Linked DNA regions of Danio rerio. The protein of the gene in region 1 purifies or fractionates together with the protein of each later gene. This does not show direct contact. Links are inferred from orthologs where the notes say so. Each region holds a gene or a part of one and is shown on either strand. Other genes may lie near its edges.

Region 1 (4,160 bases):
TATGCAATTCCTAGCATGTTTGTTTTTTTAATTATTTTTATTGTGTCAGAACTTGCTGAAGTGAGTACACAGACGTACACAGAGTACGCAGAAAATGTCCTCTTGATGGACAAAGTATAACTTACAAAATAAACAAAGAAAACATCAGATTTTCAATGACAATTTAAAAAAATATATATTATTTATACAGATTATAAATACATAATATATCAAATACACAAACGAAACAAGAGAGAAATATACTAAGTTGGTAACAAATATATTCCAATATTTTAAATAATACAAATATTTAAGAGTCACTACAGATAATGGATTGTGCTGAGCTATTGAGAAACAACTACTAAACAATAAACTATAGAGTTTAACGCGAAACTAAAACAACATATACATATACAATTAGTCAATTCAATATTTTTAACCTTATTTTCTTCTCCCTTAAGTAAATGTAGATCGAGCTAAGTAATATAATTGCCAATGTTGACAACAAGATAAGCTAGGCTAGCTAATAGCCATGCCACATTACGTTACAAAAGCTCAGCTTACATACAGTTAAGTCGTATTAAAATGAACAGTTTTTCACTAGAATTGTGTACTCTTAAAGATAAACAGAAATATAATCATAAATGTAATAAAAATGGCTAAATCACTCACCGCCGAGCGTCTCTTTAAACAACAACAGACACACTGACCGTGCAAAAGCCTGCGCGGTACGTCACACACACCTTGTGTACTACGTCGAAAACTACGCTTCAAATGTGATCTATTACATATATCTATGATCTATTAATGCGTCAATAGCATTACATTTCAATATCAGCGGAGCCTTGGTATATTTAATAAGAAATTAAATGGAATAGCTGTACTTTTTAATGTAATAAAGCGTTTAAATGAAACTCTAAGGGTAAATGCTGATTGAAACCGGTATAAAGACCATGGTCGAAAGTTTTTGTCATCAAAGGACTTTTTGAGAGCTAAAGTGGGAGTATGCCGATTATCTTTTGATCTTTTGCTACTTTGTTTATTTCTGATCGAGCACCTGCTTTTGAAATTTTTAGATGTGCGCACATTTCTGTTTTTTTTTTTTTTTTTGCTTTGAAACCGGTGTATTATTATTGCACATAACGTCTTAACAACTTTTAATAGTAGTATGCATTATATAAAGTTTAAATAAAGCATTATATAAAATTGTGTGAATCTGCCTTTCTGTAGTGTCTCCCCAAGCCACAGGAGGCATTACATAGAATCAGCGCGCCATTTTATCTGCGTCATTCTGTTTCCGGATTTGCGCCGCCATTGAAACAACAGCAGCCAACGTGAGATTTTCGTTGCCGCGCCAATAACTATTACACTTAATATCACATTTTGTCACTTTTTATAATAACATCCGGATATTATTGAGAAGAATGGCGTACAGAGGACAAGGACAGAAGGTTCAAAAGGTCATGGTGCAGCCCATCGTATCCTTTCAGGCCAAATAGCTGCATTGAGCTCTCGCCATTGTACCGATATGTGTTGGATGTGTGCTGTTATATGTATAATGTAATATACTTTGACATATTATTGTATAATATAATATAGTTTAGCATATTATTGTAGGTAATATAAGTTGTGTTAGCTAACATTTTGAATACTAAATACTTTTAGCAATGTTTGAGCTGATTATAACAGTGTCCCTGCGTTACAAATGAATGAAAAAGGTTATGAATCGTGTTTATATGTCATTTGTTTCCTTAACGAGTCTTTCAGAACCTTATTTTCAGGTATCTACAGAATGTAAGTACTTGTTTTTCAATCTGCGACATACACAAGCTTTTATCTGTCCACATATGTCTATTTTTTCATGTGTTTATTGTATTTTTGTAGAGTAAAATCTTTATTCTGTTATACCTGCTGATTTATAGATGTCTTGATAAATATCAAAAGTGGTAGTTCTCTCAGAAATGAAAATATTGTAAGCATTGAGGTAAAGTTTGTTAAATTATATTCACACATTCTGAATTTCACGTTCAATAAAATACAGGTCATGGAAAACCTGAAAAAGTCATGGAATTTTGACACAGCATTTTGCAGGCCTGGAAAAGTTTTGTAAAAACAGGGAAATCCACAGAATTTTGGAAAAGTCAGAGAAATTAGTTGAAAAAATATCTGTACACTTGATTTAGCGCGATATTGAAAAGATCTGACTTTACAATATTTTGTATTTCTGTGATCTATATTGCGATGTGAAAACTATTTCACCTGGTGATTTAAATAGAGGTAAAGTTGGTTTTATATTCTGATATTCAGACTTTCCCCTTAATAATATAATTACAGAAAAGTATTCTTTGCAAATTGTAAATGGGGAAATCATATGAGCAGCAAATGACTATCAAAGTACATTGTTCACAGTGAATTAGATAGTGTTAATGTTGTTTAGAACTCATACGTGCATGCTAATTCTGAATATTTAAGGTAACATGGTAAACAATAAAGAGACTGCAGTGCTAAATGAATGAATGTGTAAATATAAAACCAACTTTACCTATTTGATTCAACAGGTATATTTGGATTGATTGGGGGAATTTTGTAGAGGAGTGAATCTTGAATAATACATAACAGATCAATTACAAGCATAGATAAATAAAATATAGTAAAGATAAAATATAATTATAGTTTTCAGATAATCAACACTGCAGAGTCTTCACTGTATATTATTTAATCTTTATTAGAGTTACAAAACATTTCTTGTGGCCGGATGTTTTGAAATTTGAAATATTGAAATGTTCACACAGTCACAAGCCTTATAGGGACAGTTTACTTAAAGATTAAAATGTACTCACTATTTACTCACCCAACCGTTTACTCCATTATGATTAAACTCGAAATTAAACTATTATCTAATATATATAATTTAATATAATTTTAGGGTCAAATATCGACACGCCCAAACATTGGGTTAAAAAGTGACATTTAAATTTCATTAGATAAAAGGTTTTGTCCATATTTGACCCAATTTTGGGTTCCGACAATCCAGCATTTTTTTTTTTTTTTTTTTTTTTTTTTTTTATACAATGTTTTTTAAAAATTGTTTTGTTTAAACCACTTGGCACAAAATCTAAATGAGCAGTTGGTAATAATTTTCCTGCTTCTTTGCAGCGTTCCCGAATCTCGGTGTGGCTGTACGAACAGGTCAACATGCGGATAGAGGGTTGCATCATCGTGAGTAAAGTCTCCGATTTACCAATAACACTAGAGCTGGGAATCTGGGCTGCTTGATCAATTGAAATGAAAACTCAATCCTACCTTTTCAGGTTAGCTAAATCCTAATTCACAACTGACAAAATGCGCATAAAAATCGCCTTCAATTTATTGCCCAGCCCTACTGGGATTCTTTAATTAAATCAATGCATTGAATCAATAAATCAATATTCAACTGCAATTCATTATAAAGTGATGAGTATTTATTTAATATAGCAGAAGACGATATTATTAGCCCTCCTGTGAAAATGTGAGTTCTTTTTGTTGAACAGAAAACTGGGAAATCTTCTCGATATGTCATGTATGTTTTTTTCCTCTGGAAGATGTACATTTATTTTACTTTGGAAGGAAGTAAAGCAATTTTGACCTTTTAAAAATAATCTCAAAAGTTAATATTATTAGCCCCCTTAAGAAATATTTACATTTTTGATTGGCTTCAGAACAAACCTCTGTTCTCCAATGATTCCCTGATTACGAATGCTTTATAATCATTGCTTATGAATGCTAATTACCCTTAAGCTGAATGCTTGTATCTTTTAAAAATAATATAGCAAAAACAAAAGAAATTAGTAATTAATACTTGTTTAAAAATGTGCTGGAACAATCTCTCTGCTAATCAGCACTTGGGAATTATAATTATTATTTTTATAAATATGCCATCATCGGTGTATAATATTTACTCCTTTTATCAGTACAATATACACTCACAAGCCACTTTATTAGGTACACCTGTCCAACTGCTCGTTAAGGCAAATTTCTAATCTGCCAATCACATGGCAGCAACTCAATGGCTGTTTCTCAATTCCAAGAATGCAGAGATTGGACTTGCGTTCTTGTGGAGACCAGTCTTGCCAGTTTTCCTTGGAAGAACAAACTCGGGAGACCACGAGAACAGGGAACGCATCCAGTGGGAAATGGGATGC
Region 2 (3,662 bases), on another chromosome or scaffold:
TCAGTTTTTTTTTTTTTTGAGGGGACAACAAATTAATTTTAATTTTGGGCATATGCTGTGTAAAACATATGCTGAATAAGTCGGTAGTTCATTCCACTGTAGCGACCCCAGATTAATAAAGGGACTAAGCCGAAAAGAAAATGAATTAATCAGTGAGTTTTAGTATTGAATTGACCCAAAGAATGCATCTTTCAAAATATATATACAGATTTAAAATAGATATTTAATACATTAAATTTTTGTAAAATCTTTTTAATCTTTTACTTTTTTGTGGGGTAATTTTAAATAAATGTAGCAATAATAATCCCAAGAGCAGGTGTGGAATGCGGTTCTACACGTTATTTCAAGCAACTTGAATAACAGAATTTGGGTGTGGTGTGTCAGAGCAGCAGTGAATCAAGCTCACATACAATAATTTCAAAATTAAATATACTGTTACAATACTCATCCAAGTGCTATTTGATTTAAATGTATGCTGTTGTCCATACGTTTGGGACTTTTCCCACATTTCTCTTTTGTTTTTATGCTCACCACAATACTTAGTTGAACATACCTACACTGTCAAACCCAACAGTCAACTTTATGAAATGAGTGTAGTTCACTCAAAATTGACAAAGTTAATTCTACTCATTTGAAAAGTTTTGAACTGTGTTGAAGGTATTGAGTTAATTAAATAGCTCATTATTTCATCTTAAATGGAGTAAGTTCACAGTACTCGTATAGATTGTTTTTTTTTGTTTGTTTGTTTTAACTCAAGGGGTTTGTAGCAATCAATTTCCTCGAATAGTTTGAGTTTTCTTAACTTTTTGGGTTTTACAGTGTAGATAATACCATAGTTATAAATTATTATATTATTCTAAATATTTTTAATGTAATTTATTCCTGTGACATGAAGCAGATATTTCAGCTTTGTTACTCCAGCATCTGTCACATGATCCTTCTTAAATCATTCTAATATGTTTGCTGTTTACAATATTATTAGTATGATTATTATTACTGTTGTTGTTATTATTATTATTATTATTATTATTATTATTTTCATAAATTTTCCTTCAGCTTAGTCTCTTATCTATCAGGGGTCGCCACAGCGGAATGAACCAGCAACTATTACGGCTTATGTTTTACACAGTGGACGACCTTTCAGCCACAACCCAATACTGGGAAACACACACACACACACACACACACACACACACACACACACTCTTACATTGACACATTCTTATACACTAAGCCAAAGGCCAATTTCATTCATTTATTTTCTTGACGGCTTAGTCCCTTTATCAATCCGGGGTCGCCACAGCGGAATGAACCGCCAACTTATCCAGCAAGTTTTTACGCAGCGGATGTCCTTCCAGCCACAACCCATCTCTGGGAAAACATCTAGACACACACACTCATACACTACGGACAATTTAGCCTACCCCATTCACCTGTACCGCATGTCTTTGGACTGTGGGTGAAACCGGAGCACTCGGAGGAAACCCACACAAAGTCAGCGATAACATGCAAACTCCACACAGAAATGCCAACTGAGCCGAGGTTCGAACCAGCGACCTTCTTGCTGTGGGGCGACAGCACTACCTACTGCGCCACTGCCTCGCCACTAAGGCCAATTTAGTTTATGCAATTCACCTATAGAGCATGTTTTTGGACATGTCGTCTATATATGCTAAATAGTTAGTTTTTGTGCTAAATAGTATAAATATTGTACATGTAATGCTTGAATAATGTTAATCTAATATGTTTGCAATACCAGTCAAAGGTTGGCAAACATAACCATTTCAACTGTTTGAAAAGTCTCTTCTGTTTACCACAGCTGCGTTTATTTAGTAATTAGATTTAAAAATACAACAAAAACAGTAAAACTGTGGAATATTGTATTTGTTACATGAAGTTGAAGTCAGAATTATAAGCCCCTTTTTTTCTCTCTCTTTTTTCAATATTTACCAAATGATGTTTAACAGAGCAAGGAAACTTTCACAGTATGTCTGATAATATTTTTTTTCTTCTGGAGAAAGACTTATTTGTTTTATTTCAGCTAGGATAAAAGCAGTTTTGAATTAAATAAAAAACATTTTAAGGTCAATATAATTAGTCCCTTTAAGCTTTTTTTTCAATAATCAACAGAACAAACCATTGATACACAATAACTTGCCTAATTACCCTTACCTAGTTAGCCTAATTAACCTAGTTAAGCCTTTAAATGTCACTTTAAGCTGTATAGAAGTGTCTTATATATCTAGTCAAATATTATTTTCTTTCATCATGGCAAAGACAAAATAGGTCAGTTATTAGAGATGAGTTTATTAAAACTATTAGGTTTGGATATGTAAAAAAAAATCTTTTCTCCATTAAACAGAAATTGGGGAAAAAATAAACGGGGCTAATAATTCTGACTTCCACTGTAAATGTTATTATGTTCACCTATAAAGTAGATTTGAATGTTAATATGTATAATACATATTCATGTAATTTCCAGCATCGTTACTCAAGTCAAGTCATTTGTATATGCGTATGTCTTCATTAAAAATAATATTTGCCAACACTGCTTTTTTTTGCCACATTTATATGTCTTGTTCTAAGCTGTTGGAGTCTGTTTTCTAGGATCAAAGTCAAATGCTGTTCTTTGAAACTGTGCGCAACCAAAATTGATTCATTTAATTGTTTCACTCTTGCAGCAAAAGCTTGATGAGGAATATAAAGAGAAGCTGATCGAAAACCAAAAGGCTGCTGAGGACAGAACAGCAAAACGCAGAAAGAAGAGGTTTGATTCTTGGTTGACTTCAGATATTCTAGTCTTTCTGGAGAATCTGTTGCGTTTCTTAATCTCAGTTGTTCTTTTGTGTTATTTAGAGAAAAGTTGAAACAAAAGAAGTTGATGGCCAAGAAAGCCAAGATGGAGAGCCAGAAAGAAGAAGGTGAGAGACAATTCAGCCACAGCCCCTTGTTCATATTCAGTTTAGAGTTAAATCATTTGTTTGTTTATGTCTACCCAAAAGCAGAAAAGCATTTACTTATATATAAGTGGATTAACACTCATGTTAGCAAACACATCTTTTATAATGTTTTATAATGGTGTTTAACACTCGGTGTGTTTGAATTAGGGGTGCTCTAACATTTTGTATGAAGTGCAGGAAACTAAATATCACTGAGACCCATGGGCTGATAGTAAATAAACCCTACTACACTCACTGGCCACTTTAATAGATACACCTTACTAGTACTGAGTTTGACCCCCTTTTGCCTTCAGAACTGCTGTAATCCTTCTTGGCATAGATTCAACAAAGTACTGGTAATATTTGTGAGATTTTTGTCCATATTGGTCCATGACGGCATCACACAGTTGCTGCAGATTTGTTGGCTGCACATCCATGATGCAAATCTCCCGTTTCACCACATCCCAAAGGTGCTCTATTGGATTGAGCTCAGGTGACTGTGGAGGCCATTTGAGTACAGTGAACTAAACATTAAACGGAAACAAAGAATGAATATTCTACAAACTCGCGTAAACCCCTCAATCATAATATTGTTTAATTTTATATAAGGACATTATTTAGATTACTGATGTCTATATGAGCAATATTACATGAGTAGCAGTACTGTTTATCAACCTTAATGTCCTAACAGTGACAATATACAGTCATATAGCACTGCTACGA

Evidence for each region. The genes of interacting proteins can lie anywhere in the genome.
Region 2: the proteins of snrpe (region 1) and prkrip1 purify together in Homo sapiens (co-immunoprecipitation; 3 studies listed by BioGRID and IntAct, counting the BioPlex papers as one, with this or other methods). This does not show direct contact. The link is inferred for Danio rerio from reciprocal best matches to the Homo sapiens genes SNRPE and PRKRIP1.

The regions. Positions count from the first base shown.
Region 1 is NC_133186.1:40,122,903-40,127,062, forward strand, and holds the start of snrpe (small nuclear ribonucleoprotein E), read left to right. Parts: upstream 1-1,281; 5' UTR 1,282-1,403; coding exon 1,404-1,457; intron 1,458-1,746; coding exon 1,747-1,773; intron 1,774-3,135; coding exon 3,136-3,198; intron 3,199-4,160. UniProt on the Homo sapiens protein: Plays a role in pre-mRNA splicing as a core component of the spliceosomal U1, U2, U4 and U5 small nuclear ribonucleoproteins (snRNPs), the building blocks of the spliceosome.
Region 2 is NC_133180.1:65,105,442-65,109,103, forward strand, and holds part of prkrip1 (PRKR-interacting protein 1 homolog), read left to right. Parts: intron 1-2,681; coding exon 2,682-2,767; intron 2,768-2,856; coding exon 2,857-2,921; intron 2,922-3,662.